Linked DNA regions of Arabidopsis thaliana. The protein of the gene in region 1 binds, or shares a complex with, the protein of each later gene. Each region holds a gene or a part of one and is shown in the gene's direction. Other genes may lie near its edges.

Evidence for each region.
Region 2: the proteins of FTSH12 (region 1) and EMB3144 are in contact, whole or in part, in a cryo-EM structure (PDB 8XKU), measured with the Arabidopsis thaliana proteins. Residues at the interface, in NP_565212.1 of Arabidopsis thaliana: Leu255 (codon at 3,570), Ile258 (codon at 3,579), Ile259 (codon at 3,582), Asn262 (codon at 3,591), Arg264 (codon at 3,597), Ile265 (codon at 3,600), Gln266 (codon at 3,603), Lys270 (codon at 3,615), Leu273 (codon at 3,624), Leu277 (codon at 3,636), Val279 (codon at 3,642), Lys359 (codon at 4,098), Leu360 (codon at 4,101), Pro361 (codon at 4,104), Tyr362 (codon at 4,107), Thr363 (codon at 4,110), Tyr364 (codon at 4,113), Leu366 (codon at 4,119), Lys368 (codon at 4,125), Glu373 (codon at 4,140), Asp382 (codon at 4,399), Lys384 (codon at 4,405), Arg385 (codon at 4,408), Met390 (codon at 4,423), Glu392 (codon at 4,429), Tyr398 (codon at 4,447), Asp401 (codon at 4,535), Ile402 (codon at 4,538), Pro403 (codon at 4,541), Leu404 (codon at 4,544); in NP_201263.2 of Arabidopsis thaliana: Lys91 (codon at 2,620), Leu92 (codon at 2,623), Arg93 (codon at 2,626), Glu94 (codon at 2,629), Glu96 (codon at 2,635), Arg97 (codon at 2,638), Leu100 (codon at 2,647), Met103 (codon at 2,656), Glu104 (codon at 2,659), Val112 (codon at 2,683), Glu115 (codon at 2,692), Arg116 (codon at 2,695), Val119 (codon at 2,704), Met120 (codon at 2,707), Asp123 (codon at 2,716), Arg126 (codon at 2,725), Tyr167 (codon at 2,848), Tyr170 (codon at 2,857), Asn213 (codon at 3,086), Trp216 (codon at 3,095), Lys217 (codon at 3,098), His220 (codon at 3,107), Val224 (codon at 3,119), Asn225 (codon at 3,122), Val226 (codon at 3,125), Glu227 (codon at 3,128), Val228 (codon at 3,131), Asn230 (codon at 3,137), Val231 (codon at 3,140), Val234 (codon at 3,149).

The regions. Positions count from the first base shown.
Region 1 is NC_003070.9:29,924,604-29,933,592, forward strand, and holds FTSH12 (FTSH protease 12), read left to right. Parts: upstream 1-2,155; 5' UTR 2,156-2,372; coding exon 2,373-2,801; intron 2,802-3,030; coding exon 3,031-3,215; intron 3,216-3,421; coding exon 3,422-3,648; intron 3,649-3,844; exon of another isoform or gene 3,845-3,864; coding exon 3,865-4,142; intron 4,143-4,374; coding exon 4,375-4,452; intron 4,453-4,531; coding exon 4,532-4,774; intron 4,775-4,877; coding exon 4,878-5,018; intron 5,019-5,122; coding exon 5,123-5,290; intron 5,291-5,385; coding exon 5,386-5,498; intron 5,499-5,597; coding exon 5,598-5,814; intron 5,815-5,907; coding exon 5,908-5,979; intron 5,980-6,068; coding exon 6,069-6,188; intron 6,189-6,281; coding exon 6,282-6,398; intron 6,399-6,508; coding exon 6,509-6,685; intron 6,686-6,868; coding exon 6,869-6,988; intron 6,989-7,089; coding exon 7,090-7,164; intron 7,165-7,256; coding exon 7,257-7,364; coding exon of another isoform or gene 7,365-7,388; exon of another isoform or gene 7,389-7,423; intron 7,424-7,456; coding exon 7,457-7,537; and 5 more. Other genes in the region: PGK (phosphoglycerate kinase), read right to left, coding at 98-256, 365-682, 771-1,031, 1,120-1,197, 1,498-1,692; AT1G79570 (kinase superfamily with octicosapeptide/Phox/Bem1p domain-containing protein), read right to left, coding at 8,253-8,452, 8,561-8,648, 8,866-8,988. UniProt on the Arabidopsis thaliana protein: Probable ATP-dependent zinc metallopeptidase.
Region 2 is NC_003076.8:25,815,717-25,823,548, reverse strand, and holds EMB3144 (AAA-type ATPase family protein), read left to right. Parts: upstream 1-1,981; 5' UTR 1,982-2,083; coding exon 2,084-2,353; intron 2,354-2,619; coding exon 2,620-2,875; intron 2,876-2,975; coding exon 2,976-3,351; intron 3,352-3,441; coding exon 3,442-3,700; intron 3,701-3,802; coding exon 3,803-3,934; intron 3,935-4,022; coding exon 4,023-4,097; intron 4,098-4,168; coding exon 4,169-4,294; intron 4,295-4,374; coding exon 4,375-4,484; intron 4,485-4,572; coding exon 4,573-4,651; intron 4,652-4,725; coding exon 4,726-4,863; intron 4,864-4,959; coding exon 4,960-5,071; intron 5,072-5,169; coding exon 5,170-5,333; intron 5,334-5,421; coding exon 5,422-5,527; intron 5,528-5,622; coding exon 5,623-5,699; intron 5,700-5,779; coding exon 5,780-5,923; intron 5,924-6,014; coding exon 6,015-6,158; 3' UTR 6,159-6,166; intron 6,167-6,275; 3' UTR 6,276-6,631; downstream 6,632-7,832. Other genes in the region: AT5G64590 (NYN domain protein), read left to right, coding at 348-363, 512-758, 803-1,026, 1,084-1,217. UniProt on the Arabidopsis thaliana protein: Functions in chloroplast biogenesis and chloroplast division. Required for plastid development during embryogenesis. Might be involved in chaperone functions or play a structural role in the thylakoid FtsH complex.

The DNA.
Region 1 (8,989 bases):
TGTTGAAGACAGATGATTAACAAACATGTTGAAGACAAATGGATTTAGACAAAAGTGAGACTAAAACTTGTGTTTATATGTGTTTAGTTGCTCATACCTCAGTTCCAGCAGCAAACTTATCGAATTCAAACACACCCATGGGACCATTCCAGATGATGGTTTTGGTTGTGTCCAGAGCTTCGCTGAATGTCTTGATGGAGTCTGGACCAATATCTAGACCCATCCAGCCATCAGGGATGGCAGTGGCTGGCACTATCTGCAAGAGTCATATGTGTCAGCTTTAAAGAGACCAGACCAGACGCTTAAATGTTTTACTTTCATACATGGCCCATTGAGAGTCAACCACAATGACTGTGATAGTTACCTTGCTGTTAGCATCGGGAGCAAACTTGTCAGCAATAACCACATCGGTTGGGAGCAAGAGAGAGACACCTTTGGCCTTTGCTTTCTCCATGAGTGACTTTGCCAAGTCAAGCTTGTCCTCCTCCACAAGGGAAGATCCGACTGAGAGTCCTTGTGCCTTGTAGAAAGTAAAAATCATACCTCCACCGAGCAGGAGGATGTCAACTGTGTTCAAGAGAGACTCAATGACACCAATCTTTGTTGAAACCTTTGAGCCTCCAACAATGGCAGCAAAAGGCTTCTTGGGGTTTGCCACAGCTCCGACAAGGTAATCAAGTTCCTGACACAATAAAACAAGTAATAGTCTGATCAGTAAAATAAAGAGACTCATCTAAGAAGATACTCTTTATGCTGCAAATTTTAAATACCTTCTGCATGAGGAAACCAGCAACTGAAGGCTTCAAGAATTTGGCAACTCCCTCAGTGGAAGCATGAGCTCTGTGAGCAGTTCCGAAGGCATCATTAACGTAAACATCGGCAAGAGCAGCAAGCTTCTTTGCAAATTCAGGATCATTCTTCTCTTCCTCGGCGTAGAACCTCACATTCTCCAAGAGCAAAACACCACCTTCAGGTAGTCCTGCAACCAACTTCTGGACTTCCTCACCAATAGAGTCATTTGCCATTACAACCTATTAACACAAACAGAGTGAGAACAGTGTTCTTTTAAAAGCTAATGTTCAGAAACCTTGCAAGTCTAGAAGAGGAAGAGGAACAAACCTCAACACCAAGAAGTTCAGACAATCTGGGCACAAGAGGCTTTAAGCTGTACTTAGGAGTAACACCTTTTGGGCGGCCCTGAAACATAAATTGAGATCAGATACATCCATTAATTCAACAGCATCATCCAATTGAACTTGAGTATAAACATATCCAAGTAAACTTACTAAAACAATTACCCAAACAACACCAGAAAATCAACCGATAGAGTCAATGAACATATTGAAAAACAAGAATACTATATCTACATCCTAACATGCAAAGAGACTCTTCTTATACGCATGGCTCTCCGGATAAACAGATCAGATCAAAATTCCCACACCAAAATTACAACAGATAAGCAAGTAGTGAAGTGAGAACTGAGATAAGATATCATACCAAGTGACTGCAGAGAACAACCCTAGATCCATTACCCATCAAGTACTTGATGGTGGGAACAGCGGCACGAATCCTGGTGTCATCGGTGATGTTAGAGTTATCATCCAAAGGAACGTTGAGATCAACCCTCACGAACACACTCTTTCCCTTCAGATCCGCTTCCTTCAAAGTTCCAACGCTTCTCTTCGTCGCCATAGTTGATTCTTCGTAAAACAAACTAAAAACACTGCAAACAACAAGATGCACACCGCGAGTTCAGATTGACGGAGAAATCAACCAAATCGGTGAAACAGATCTAGAGAATCTAGCTCAAAACTTAATCGAAGAAAACAATCGGAATCTGAAGAAAGAATATACTTACATGAGTGGTTGAAATGAAATACAAGATGATCGAACGTTACAGAGGCTGGTATAAAGAGTTGGTGAATGGATCTTTCGAGAAGCGAGAGAACAATATCCCTTCCTTATATAAAAGCAGCTTGGACAACACCCCAAGAAATGTCCCTATAATTACCCTTTTTGCCACTGTGTCTCTCCTTGGATTCCACGGTTTAAATATATTATTTTTCGGATAGTGGGCTGATGGACCTTAATGGGCTAGCCCAATTATATAACTAATAGGCTTCGAGCCTCTTTGAGTTTAAGCGTCATCTTTCTCCTTCGAAGTATTAGGACACTCTCAACGACGGATCAGTGTAGATAAACCTCCTTACCGGAGAGAAGCGTAAGTCTTGCCGGAGAGTCGAGTGAGCTGAATGGTTGGTACTCACCATTTTCCTTCAGTAATTTTCTCAGAGAGAGCTCTTTAATCGGGAAAAATCTTCAAATGCGTCTGGTTTTGTTCTCTTTTTAATTTTTTTCTTGTGATTTCATTCATGGAGATTGCAATTTCGTATAAACCGAATCCGCTTATCTCTTCATCGACTCAGTTGTTGAAAAGATCAAAAAGTTTTGGTCTTGTTCGGTTTCCCGCCAAGTATGGACTGGGAGCTACCCGGAAAAAACAGCTCTTTCGAGTCTATGCGTCTGAAAGTAGTAGTGGGTCTTCATCTAATAGCGATGGAGGCTTTTCGTGGGTGAGATTGGCTCAGTCTATTCGCCTTGGTGCCGAGCGGATTGGGGAGAAGATTGGAGAATCTGTGAAGACAGAAATTGGGTTTGACTCGGAAGAAGCAAGTGGGAGAGTGAATGAGTATGTGGCTCGAGTTAAGGATAGTGTGCACAAGGGCCATCACGAGCTGACTCGCTTTAAGAATGAGACAGTGCCTTCGTTTATTGATTGGAACAAGTGGGAGCATTGGAAGGTAAGCTGGTTCAGCTTTTTAACGTAATTATCAAATTTCTGATTCTCAAGTATTGTTAGACTTCTGCTTGTGTTCTAAAACATTGAGGGACAAACGTATGGTATTTATTTATTTTGTTGTTGATTTAACGGAAGCATAAATTTTGGAGGAGACTACAACTACGCTTATTCTAGCGACATATACTAGTGTATTAGGTTGTTTCTTAATGAGGGAAGATGTATTGTATCAGGACATCAGGAATTGGGACGGTAAACGAGTTGCTGCCTTGTTCATATATGCTTTTGCGCTGTTACTTTCTTGTCAAAGAGTTTATGTTGCCATCCAAGCTCCTCGGGTAGAACGAGAGAGAAGAGAGTTAACAGAGTCTTTTATGGAGGCTTTGATCCCCGAGCCATCTCCTGGAAATATAGAAAAGTAGGTGCTTCCTAATCCTCAGTTTCCGATTGTAATTTTCTCTACTGGGACATGGTAAAATATGGTTCATATTCAAACTATGGTATCATCCTTTAACAAGTAAATACTCAGCTAATGAGGCATCTAAAGCGTCAAGAGTGGGAAGACTAAAAGAACTTCTGTTTATTTGATTTTGTAGAATGTCCTGACTTATTCTAGTGTTTCAGGTTCAAGAGAAATATGTGGAGGAAAGCAACACCTAAAGGCTTGAAATTAAAAAGGTTCATTGAAGCGCCTGATGGAACACTTGTCCACGATAGTTCTTATGTTGGAGAAAATGCGTGGGATGACGATCTAGAGACCACAGAGGGATCTCTCAAGAAAATAATTGGTAGAAATGCTAGGATTCAGACAGAGGCAAAGAAGAAACTAAGCCAAGATCTGGGTGTCTCTGGTCAGTATACATTCGTTAGGTGATACTTGTTTAGTAGTGGCATGCTGAAGATATAACAAGAAGTGATTTATTGTGCGAAACCTTTGTTTTTGACGACCTAATCTTATCTCACTAATCAAGTTTCTTTCAGAGCAGCACTTCTAGATCCCTCATCTACTATCATTGGTAACCTGTGCTTTTGACCATCTAATCCTCTATTGCATTCTTCTATGATAGGTGAAATTGGAGACAGTGTAGGTAATTGGCGGGAAAGGCTTGCAACCTGGAAGGAAATGTTAGAACGAGAAAAATTATCAGAACAGTTAAACTCCTCAGCGGCGAAGTATGTGGTTGAATTTGATATGAAAGAGGTAGAGAAAAGTCTTCGCGAAGATGTTATTGGAAGGACATCTGAAACTGAGGGAACTAGAGCTCTCTGGATATCAAAGAGATGGTGGCGATATCGCCCTAAGCTTCCCTATACCTACTTCCTTCAGAAGCTTGATTCTTCTGAGGTACAGCTCTAACCTATACTCTTGTCCGGCTTTGGGATTGTGAGTGGCAAGTGTCATTATATCCAGTTGAATTTTTTAAATGATAACAAGTGATGGTATATTCATTATGAGTTAAAATATGATGAATATATTCCTTTTCCAAAGCAATTAATTTGAAGCTGGACGTGATAGGATGATAGATCTTTTTTTTAGCTTATGTTGGCACGATAATCTGTGTATGTGTTCATAACAGGTTGCAGCTGTTGTTTTCACGGAAGACCTAAAGAGATTGTATGTGACCATGAAAGAAGGTTTCCCTCTAGAATATATTGTAAGTAAAAAAATTATAGTTGCAAGTATTTGGAAATGAATGATGTACATTCACCATGTCATATCCTTTTTATTTCTAGGTTGACATTCCCTTAGATCCTTACTTGTTTGAGACTATTTGCAACGCCGGAGTTGAGGTGGATCTTCTTCAGAAGAGGCAGATCCACTACTTCATGAAAGTTTTCATTGCACTTCTGCCGGGGATACTAATTTTATGGTTTATAAGAGAATCTGCCATGCTTCTCCTTATCACATCCAAGCGCTTTCTCTACAAGAAGTATAATCAGCTGTTTGATATGGCTTATGCAGAAAATTTTATATTGGTAATCATCGTTACTGTATACCATTAACCTCGTTACTTCTTTGTTTAGTTGCCTTCTTCCCACATATTCACACTTCTATTGATGAGTTTTAATTATCATACAGCCGGTTGGAGATGTCAGTGAGACAAAATCAATGTATAAGGAAGTGGTACTAGGCGGTGATGTCTGGGATCTTCTTGATGAGCTAATGATCTACATGGGGAACCCAATGCAATACTATGAAAAAGATGTGGCTTTTGTCAGGGTAAATTACATCTTGACCCAAAAACTAACATGTGGATATTGGTTTATTCCATTTAACTGTCTAAGCTAAGCTCAAACTCTCCTCTGTTTTCATTTTTGAGTCAGGGTGTGCTTCTTTCTGGACCTCCTGGAACTGGAAAAACACTTTTTGCGCGAACACTTGCAAAGGAAAGTGGGCTACCATTTGTGTTTGCATCTGGTGCGGAGTTCACAGACAGTGAAAAAAGTGGTGCTGCAAAGATCAATGAGATGTTTTCAATCGCGAGACGAAATGTAAGGTTCTTAGTTATGTGTTTTAAAGCTCATACGGTATAGTTGTCTTCTACTCACACTATTATTGTGGATCTAATTTTATATACTATCTCCAGGCCCCTGCTTTTGTGTTTGTGGATGAAATAGATGCTATTGCTGGTAGACATGCTAGAAAAGATCCACGGAGAAGAGCAACTTTTGAAGCTTTAATTGCGCAACTCGATGGGGAGTAAGAGAATCTGCACTTGTTTATAAATCTTAGTGATATGTACATGTTTTCATCGGGTTTGTATCAAGGCTTTCATACTTAATATTGTACCACCTGCAGGAAAGAGAAGACAGGTATCGATAGGTTTTCTTTGAGACAAGCTGTGATATTTATCTGTGCTACCAATAGACCTGATGAACTCGACCTTGAGTTTGTCCGTTCTGGCCGTATTGACCGTCGGCTGTATATTGGGTTGCCTGATGCAAAGCAAAGGGTGCAAATATTTGGAGTTCACAGTGCTGGGAAGAACCTTGCAGAAGATATAGACTTTGGGAAGGCAAGTTGTTTTCCTGCTATTTTTCAATCCCAATAACATGTTTGATATAGGTGTTTGCTCATTCATAACAACTATATCCTTTTTCACATCCAGCTTGTTTTTCGAACGGTTGGCTTTTCCGGGGCAGATATCCGGAATCTTGTTAACGAAGCGGCTATAATGTCGGTATGTCATATTCTTATGTGGATCTCAATTTCCCAATTTAGTTATACCATTTCTAGAGGAGCGTTGTTGATCGTAATCCAATTTTACAGGTAAGGAAGGGACGTTCTTACATATATCAACAAGACATTGTTGATGTGTTAGATAAACAATTGCTCGAGGGTATGGGTGTACTTCTTACAGAGGAAGAGCAACAGAAATGTGAACAAAGTGTTCGTACTGACATCCTTTGTACTATTTATCTCAAAACATACTATGCTCCACAGCTAAAAAAGCCCTAACCGTTAAAGCTTATGTAATATTAGGTATCTTACGAAAAGAAGAGACTTCTGGCTGTTCATGAGGCTGGTCATATAGTGTTGGCTCATTTGTTTCCTCGATTTGACTGGCATGCATTTTCGCAGCTCCTTCCTGGTGGCAAGGTCTGTTTCAAATATATATTTTTCAGTTGTAATGATAGTGGTGTTTGAACACTCAACAGTCAACACAGTGTAAGAATGGATTAAATAAACTTTTCTCTTGAATCTTACAGGAAACTGCTGTATCGGTTTTCTATCCACGTGAAGACATGGTAGACCAAGGGTATACCACGTTTGGTTATATGAAAATGCAAATGGTGGTAGCTCATGGTGGACGCTGTGCTGAACGTGTGGTTTTTGGCGATAATGTCACTGATGGAGGAAAAGATGACCTGGAGAAGATAACAAAAGTAAGTACTCTCCCTTTCTCGTTTAACTAATTACTGTGCCTTGCTTTTCAGCTTCTGATTAAACCTTCAACTCGGTAGCTAAAATAACATCTATGTAACTGCATATCTGCAAAGTGCTTGTGTTTTGAGTAATATTAATGTTTAGTCTTCCATTCTAAATTTGACCTGACATTACATTTTCAGATTGCCAGGGAGATGGTGATTAGCCCTCAAAGTGCGAGATTAGGTCTCACTCAACTTGTAAAAAAGATTGGAATGGTGGATTTACCAGATAACCCAGACGGCGAGCTGATAAAATACCGGGTATATCCATTAATCAGAGACTGATACTATCCCATTTTTGCTGATCTTACATATTCTCAGTAGTTCCTCACGTTCTTTTCAACTTGGTGATGTTATATCAGTGGGACCATCCTCATGTAATGCCAGCAGAGATGTCGGTAGAAGTATCCGAGCTATTCACCCGTGAGTTGACAAGGGTAATTTATCTTCGACTCAGCACACCTAATCTGATTTAAACTCTCCCATGTGGAGCTTGAACATATAGATGGTATTTGAATGTTGGTGACAGTATATCGAGGAGACTGAAGAACTTGCGATGAATGCTCTGAGAGCAAACAGGCACATTCTGGACTTAATCACCAGAGAGTTATTAGAAAAATCAAGGATTACTGGATTGGTACACTTTCTGAAACTTCAATGACAATTCATTATGACCTTTTATGTGCTTAGATACTCTCAGTCTGAAGAAATATTGCTTTCATTTTGTAGGAAGTGGAAGAGAAAATGAAGGATCTTTCTCCGTTAATGTTTGAGGATTTTGTGAAGCCATTCCAGATAAACCCTGATGATGTAGTCTATATATTATCTTCTTGTTGATCCTCAATCCTCAGCTCTAGTTCCCATTTTAAGTGTGTGACACTAGTTGTTCTTTCTTTTCAGGAGGAGCTTTTACCTCACAAGGATCGAGTGAGCTATCAGCCAGTTGATTTACGTGCTGCGCCACTCCACAGAAGCTAGAAGCTTTACTCTTATCCTGTCACACCACAGGATTGTTCCCAACTTCTTCAATAGTGAAAACCAAAAAGGTTTGATCAATCTAAAAAAATCATCTTAAAAGAGCTTTTGCCCCCCATCATTGGTTTAGGTATAGAATATCCGCAGTTATGTTCCTGGCCCAGCCGGATTTTGTACTGTGTCTGTCTGTATTTGATGATATATATCTGCAGTTGAACATTTTCAGAGAAACCATATGATATGCTCACATAAGAAAACCTTTCCTGTTATTTGCCTGGTCAAGAATTCTTCATCTTTGCAAACACAGTGCATAGCTATAAAAGGGATGCATGTGTATTCAACAGATACATGTGACAAAACAATTTCAACCAACTGGAATAAACTTTTCAACTTTTTTTTGTTTGTTTTTGTTAAAGAACAAAAAAAGGAAAGGAGAAGGATCAAGAAATATCTCTCTCCAAACCCCAAATCGAAAAAGTATAAAAGAATTGGACTCTTTGTAATCGACTTATGTTCTCTTTTCACTGCACATAAGAAAAAGAAAGGTTTTTCATTTGGAAGCCCTGTGAGCTGATGGCTTGGATTGAGTTGAAGTTGCTGCTGATGACATTACTCGTAAGCGACCAGCTATCTCTGTGAAAGATGGTCTTGCCATTGGGTTTGGTGCCCAACATTCCTCCATTAGTGTTCTCCATTCATCGTCACAGAAGCCTGGTATGGTTGGTCTCAGTGTGTTGTTCACTATCCCACCTGCACTTTCACAATGAAGTCATCATCATCTTAAATTTCATACCCACGGCATTCAGAACAAGAATGAACAGGCAGAAACTCGATAGACCATGAGTTACTTGCACGCACCTATTATTGCCCCATAGTGCATATTGGCATATGGTTCCTCTCCGGTTAGAATCTCCCACAGAACGATACCGAAAGAGAAAACATCAACCTGCAGGCAAAAAAACAAGAATATAACAGATCTTCTAGTTTAGTTGCATTCTCAGTCAGTTTGTGATAACATAAGATTCTCATCTCAAGAAACTAAACACTATTCATCTCAGCTTTTCATAAACGGGAAGATAGGTGACTGTTGCAGAGGATTCATCATTCTAGCAGTTAAAGTGGTAATTGATATTTACTGTGCATCTTATCATATTAATGTTTACCTTTTCAGAAACTTTGCTACTGCTCCCGTTTAGAAGCTCTGGTGCCATCCACGGTAAGGTTCCACGTACACCACCAGATACCAACGTATTTCTCTTGATTTTTGACAAACCAAAGTCACCAACC
Region 2 (7,832 bases), on another chromosome or scaffold:
TATTTTGACCCCGGTAAGTTCCTTATCTTTTTTTACGTCTTTGGAGATTTACATATATTAGGAACAATATACGTAGTATGATTAAGATTTAAGATGGCTAAATTTATTTGGATTAGATTCTGTTCATGGATTTGAAATTTGTCTTCCCTAGACATCATACTCGGAATATTACCGTTTTACTAAGATTTGCAGACATCAACAACCCATTTATTGGGCCAAGCCCGTAGGTTTGTGGCCCACTTGACACCGCTACCGAGAAACATAAAAAGAAGAAGATTAGCGCCAACCTTGTTCTCTCTTTAATCTTCAGCAAGCAAGCATCTAGTTTTCTCGACCGATCCAAAACGATGCCTAAGTTCAGCGGTAAGATATATATGTTTTCTCTGGAAATTGTAATCTCCTTGTCCTTGAAAGCGTTAGATCTGTTGTGATGCAGTTTGGAATTTGATGTGATCGATCTTTCATAGCAAGTTAGTCGATCTAATCAGTTTTGTAATATGGTAAAACCTAGGAGGAGGGCATAGTACAGTCTTCTTTTGGGATGTCGAGGATTGCCCGGTCCCTGATGGTCTCACTGCTGAGGCTGTTTGGCGGAACATGAGAATGGCCCTTGCGAATAATGGTGAGTATCTTGGAAGGTGCGAAATCACCGGTTTTGGTGATTACTCTCTGGCCACGAAACACGCTGGAATCGGGATGATGTGCTCCCCTTTAGGTCAATTACACACACTCTCTCTATCTTTTACATATATATATAGGTATGTATCTTGTTGTTGATCCTGAGTTGATAATATGGTTTCAGGAGACAGACGTACCAGACAGAGCAAGATTTTAGTGGAATTTCTTTGCCGGGCAATCAGATCACCTTCCCAAACAAAATTTGTGCTGATCCTGGGAGACATCTCAGGCCACTCGGGGATAAAGATGCCAGACTTGAGAAGATTATTGTAGACTTTCTTTGCTGCGCAATTGGCAATCCTGAAATAGATAACTTGATGCTCATCGTGGGAGACCTCTCGGGTCACAGTGAGTTCGAATTGGCTGCTCACCTTATGAGATGTCTAAATTTCACTGTTTTCTTAGCACAGCCTCAAAACGCATCACAACAGCTACTTAAAGCTGTACCTACAAAATGGCTTTGGTCAAGCTTATCAGCTGCACGGAACGCTGAGCTAGCGTTGAATGCTAAGCTGCTGAACGGGTCGAGTTTGAAATGATTGTGTTGCTTTTTATGGGTCTCCAACTTCTCTGCGTGCAAAGATCCTTGTAGCCTTCTTCTACTCGGTCTGGCTCTGCCTAAGATCGCATTTGACTCTTTTATTCAAAGGTTTCTGGTTGTTTTTATGTCTTTTCTATCTGGTATGCATAATAACTCGGATCTTTGAGTATTACTTTGCATCTATCTATTTTGCTTTCCCTGTTTTGTTTAAAACTCCTAAGTCGTAACCAATGCTTTCCTCTTAACCATTAACCAATTTGAAAGTTTAGCAAAAAGGTCATAAGTTTTTGATTCTTTTGGAATCATCCTAATTAATAGAGAGAACATGTTGTGAAACTGATGCATGACCAAGCAAAAAACAAAATTACCGAGACAAAAAGTCCCCTTTTCTTTTGCTTTTAACACGGAACCATCCGATTCCACAACCAAAGCATGGAAGAGGTTTTGTCATATGATCCATGTTCAACCTTATCGACGTCTTTTACAATTGTGTACACATCATCTATATCATACATACAGAGCAAATGTCTCTTAGTTGACTAGAGAATGAACCAGAATATATAATGATACATATTGAAAGAGTTTCCTTTATGGATTGAGAAAGAGCTTCACCGGTTCGGTATCTTCATAATTAGCACATTTGAAAGTCAACCGGTGATGTCCGGTTACAATAGAACCGGTAATCTCTTAAAACGGCGCGTTTGAGAAACTGTTAAAAACGCACCGTTTCGATCGTCTTTTTCAATCTTCGTGAAGAACCCACCAGCTTCAAATTTCACCTCTAGAAAGTTTGTTGCTATCGTTTCTCTTTGCACTTAGAAATCGAGGGGAAATTTTTCCCAGCTCTAATCTAATGACTGAACAATGACGTTTTATATCTCGAGCTCGTTAACTCCAACCCATTTCTCGAAACCCTTAAACCCTTCTAATACCCTCTTCCCCAGTCAATTTCGAGGTTCTCTGTCTAGTTTCGTCCGTCGAAGAAAACCAACGGAAGCTAAATTAAGCTCCAAATTCAATCTTTTTCCTTCACGAAGAAATGGTTTGATTACTTGTTGCAGTACATCGAGCTTTGAGTCTACTGAGTCTTCAGTTTCACAGGAAGAAGATGCTGAGTCCAATCGTCTATTTGAGGTTTATCTCTATTTCAAATTATAGCTAGAATTATCCAATTCTAGGGCTTTCGTTTCTAGAATGCAAAGTGAAGAACTTGCAAGCTAATAAGTGATACTCAGTTTCGGACTTTGATCGTATACTTGTGTAGTTTCTGTTGAAGAGGTTATGTTTGCATTCAATACTTGAAACATTTTTTGGTTGTAGCTTAATTGATATACTTATTCCTCATTTTGTTTAATGGAGTTTTCAAAGCTTTAATTCGTTTTATCTTTTGGTTTTTGTAGAAGTTACGAGAAACTGAAAGAGAACGACTTAGCAACATGGAAGAGCTCGAGAGAAAGGCTAATGTACAATTAGAAAGGCAGCTTGTTATGGCATCAGATTGGAGTAGAACATTGTTAACCATGCGTGGCAAGTTAAAAGGAACAGAATGGGATCCTGAAACCTCTCACCGTATCAATTTTAGTGATTTTATGAAGCTCTTAGATTCCAACAGTGTTCAATACATGGAATATTCAAATTACGGACAGACGATATCAGGTGAGAAGTTTCAAAAAGTTTCGATACATTGCATCTAACTGCTTGAAATCTAGACATGGTGTTCTTGAAATCTTTTGCCTAAGTTTTGTTGTTGTTGCAGTGATATTGCCTTATTATAAAGATGGGGAGCCCCTAGGAGAAGAAGAAGATTCGAAAAAGGAGATAATTTTCCGTCGTCACATTGTGGACCGAATGCCAATTGATGGTTGGAATGATGTATGGAAGAAGTTGCATCAGCAGATAGTAAACGTAGAGGTTTTCAATGTAGATGTGGTTCCAGCTGAAGTCTATACTACAGTTGCCACTTTTGTGGTTTGGTCTATGAGACTTGCCCTCTTTGTTTCGCTTTATGTTTGGATCGACAGTATCACGAGGCCAATCTATGCCAAACTAATCCCTTGTGATCTCGGAACCCCTACCAAAAAGATAAGGCAGCCCCTCAAGCGCCAAGCACTCGGTTCCCTAGGCAAGAGTCGGTATGTTTAGAAATGCTCGACTTCCTTTGATATTGACCTCTTCTGCTCAAGTTTGTTGGATCTAAGTTTATGTTTGGTTCTCTCTGTAAGGGCAAAATTTATATCAGCAGAGGAGAAAACTGGTGTTACTTTTGATGATTTTGCGGGTCAGGAGTATATAAAGAGGGAATTACAAGAAATTGTGCGAATTTTAAAGAATGATGAGGAATTTCAGAATAAAGGCATTTATTGTCCGAAAGGTGTTCTGCTTCATGGACCTCCCGGAACGGGGAAAACTTTGTTAGCCAAAGCTATTGCTGGAGAAGCTGGTTTACCTTTCTTCGCGGCAAATGGAACCGACTTTGTTGAGGTGAGTGATTGATTGTGTCAACATGAATAACAGTGCTAAATATCTTGGTTTTTTAAGGTCTTGAGTTAATGGAGTTTTCCTGTTTTTGTTTAAATCTCTCAGATGTTTGTAGGAGTGGCTGCATCTCGTGTTAAAGATCTTTTTGCTAGCTCTCGGTCATATGCGCCATCTATAATCTTCATTGATGAGATTGATGCAATTGGAAGTAAGCGAGGTGGACCCGATATTGGCGGGGTAAGAATGCAATGCTTTCTTGTTCCGGAAATTAGATTTTAGTATAAGAGATTTAACTTTCTTTAGAAATGTGTTACTCACTGAATAGGGAGGAGCAGAGAGAGAACAAGGTTTGCTTCAAATATTGACTGAGATGGATGGATTTAAAGTTACTACATCACAAGTAATGTTTCCCTTTGCTATATAGTTTTTTTTCAATAAACAATACTTGCTAGTAATCATGGATTTTGTCAGGTATTAGTCATAGGTGCAACAAATAGATTAGATATCCTTGATCCTGCTCTATTGAGAAAAGGTCGTTTTGACAAAATCATAAGAGTTGGTTTACCGTCAAAAGATGGTAGATTGGCGATATTAAAGGTAATTAATTTTACTTTTCTGGATATGACGAGTTTTGGTTGGCTTTGTGCTTTAACGAAAAGTTCTGTTTGTAACTAAAGGTACATGCTAGAAATAAATTCTTTCGATCTGAGGATGAGAAGGAGGAGTTGCTGCAAGAAGTAGCTGAGAACACGGAAGATTTTACCGGAGCAGAACTGCAAAACGTTCTGTAATATACAATGCTACAGCTTCAACTATGTATTTAGATGCAGAGGGAAAAAAACAGAAAACACTGATCTTTGGTTAATTGTTTACAGAAATGAAGCTGGAATCTTGACAGCTAGAAAAGATTTGGATTACATTGGAAGAGAAGAACTCCTTGAGGCGCTTAAGCGGGTAACTAGTGTTTGATATCCAGTTTATCCATGCTTAGGTGCTGCTTTAGCAAATTCTGATTCCACTCCTTACAGCAAAAAGGGACATTTGAGACTGGACAAGAAGATAGTACTGAAGTTCCAGAGGAACTGAAGTTGAGATTGGCTTACCGAGAAGCAGCTGTTGCTGTTCTTGCTTGTTATCTCCCAGATCAATATCGTCCAATCAGCGAGGTTTATTAAGAAACTTGAGTGCAGTTTCCTTCATGTGTTATTTTGAATTATAGCATTACTAAGACCATTTTTTGTATCATGTGCTTCTCTCTGCAGACTGACATAAACTCGATTAGAAGCCAACCAAATATGCGTTACTCTGAAACTTCAGGAAGAGTTTTTGCGAGAAAGTCAGATTATGTGAACTCAATAATCCGTGCATGTGCTCGTAAGTTGCAAAGCCAAACTTGTCAACACTTTCTCTTTTTCGTTATAGATCACAAAAATCTCTGTCGCTTACTTCATCCCCTTGTTTGTGTCGTATAGCTAGAGTAGTTGAAGAAGAGATGTTTGGAATAGAAAACCTGTGTTGGATCTCTGCTAAGTCTACTTTAGAAGCTTCACAGCGAGCGGAATTTCTGATTCTTCAGACGGGAATGACTGCTTTTGGAAAAGCTTATTACCGAAACCAAAGAGACCTCGTTCCTAATGTAAGTTTTATATATGTACTTGTTACCTCTTTATTTTTAGCTCTTGAGAATCTCAGAAACACCAATTTCGATTCTCCTTCGTGTATAGCTTGTTCCGAAACTTGAGGCATTACGCGATGAGTACATGAGGTTTGCTGTTGAGAAATGCTCATCAATCTTACAAGAGTATCAATCAGCCCTTGAAGAAATCACAGGTTTAGAATAATATCATATCCTCTCTGCTTCGTCATTGCAATGGCAGATATCACCATACACTCAACAATCTTAAAGAGTGTAATAATATTTTCAGATGTGCTTCTTGAGAAAGGAGAAATCAAAGCCGATGAAATCTGGAACATTTACAACACAGCTCCAAGGATTCCTCAAGTTAGTTATCTTTCTCAATCTTATCTCTCTGTATTGATTTTTTTTCCGGTTTTTCCAGATCCTTTGATTCATGAAAACAGAAACCCGTGAGACCTGTCGATGAGTATGGAGCTTTAATCTATGCGGGAAGATGGGGAATTCACGGTGTATCGCTTCCTGGAAGAGTAACATTTTCACCAGGAAACATTGGTTTTGCAACATTTGGAGCTCCTCGTCCCATGGAGGTATGTAGTAGAAACAAACCACTCATAGATCATAACAAGATTAAACTTTTTTCTTCTCTTATATAATACTCTTGTGCTATGTTTGATGCAGACACAAATCATCAGCGATGACACATGGAAACTAGTGGATGAGATTTGGGATAAAAAGGTTGAAGAAATCAAAGCAGAAGCTGTTATTCAAATTGAAGAAGAAAAGAAGAAACCTCAGATTTTGATGGCAACCCATTTCTTTTAAAATCATTTGTAAGTTTCTCAGATTCACGGTTTTGTTAAACATCAATAACCAGCCAGCAGTGTCCAGAAATGCTAACATGAATTGCTGATTTGTTACTGTTTTTTTTTTGTTTTTCAGTTCAGTTTTGCGGTCTCAAGAACATCAAATGAACAAAGCTCTCCAGGTGAAACTTTAGAGATTATTATGTATCATGTAAAACATAGAGATCTGTAGAAAAGAGTGTTAGTGGAATCACACTAGTTTATTTGCTGAGAAAAATGTCAAATGTGATCATTTTTATAAAATATTTTGTTATTTTTATTTAATTGATGCAAATTTGCTTGGCTGTGTAGGGCATGGGCCAAAACAAAAAAAAGAAAGTAGATACAATCTCATCTCACTTTTTTCAAAATCAGATTGCTTTTTTCATGACCAATTTGGATATCATTATCTATATTAACAATCATAGAAATGTTGAAATACATTTGCAATTTGAACACCTAACCAATGGCGACAATAAAGTCGCAGGTCGATATCGTCAATACTATAATCTTTGCATGTGATATTTTCCTTCTTCTTTTTTTCAGCTTCTACATTTTTTATTTGAGATTCAATCTATACATATCTGCAAGAAACCAAATTAAAAAGCATCTTAATGTCATACATTAGACTGTGCAACCAACGCTTGGAGTGACGCCACTAATGGTGTTATTGAAGTTCCTTTATTACTTAGTGTATAACTTATTTTTTATTCGTGGCAGGTTTGCACATAATTACATAGCCTTAATGCTAACATGTTATTTTCATGACGATCGGATACATACACATAACCGAATATCTTATCCAGTTTTGATAATTATGAACAAAATCTTTTTTCAAAATAAAATAATGATGATGAATATATACAAGGTTACATATATAATGGGATTATGGGACATGCCTCTTCTATTTTATATTAAGAATATTTTGGGGTTTGAGAAATGTGAACAATTACAATAATTGACAGTAGTTATGTCTTCATCGATCCTCGCCTCACCTGCTCTAACTATAAATAATAGGGATGTCTAAAAAGTCACATGCCCTGTACAATAACATCATCTACCTTATGTATATTATTCAAAGATTAGGTCAATTTTTGTTGTTGTAAATAAATGTAAAAGACAATCTTGAAGAAATTATAATACTATACCCAATTGTTTCTTTATGAAAAAGTAATCTCTCCGAAAAGTTAAGATTCTAGTGGCGAATCATGCAAATTTAAAAAAATTGCGCACAATACAATGGTAAACTGATAAGTAAGAAACGACAATTAGATGATTGATATGCATCATAAAAATAGTGGAACAACAAAATAATTGACTAGCTTTCTTAAAACACTAAACGCGAAAAATGGTATATACATTTGATTTTTAATTTAAACAAATGAAAATAGTAAAATAATTGAGCATATATTATGATTCCGTAAAATTATGCAGCCGAGCGCATATGTGAACTAAAAACACATGCATTTCAAAAACGTTTATGTGGATAAAGTTTTCATGAAACTCTTTAACAAAAAAAAAAAAAAAAGGTTTTCATGACACATTTGGAATTATATGATAGAGACATTGTTGTAACGTAGTTAAGACGTAAATAACCTAATTGATATCTTTGTCCCCACCATTTGCTAACACGTAACCATGCAACTTTAATTTG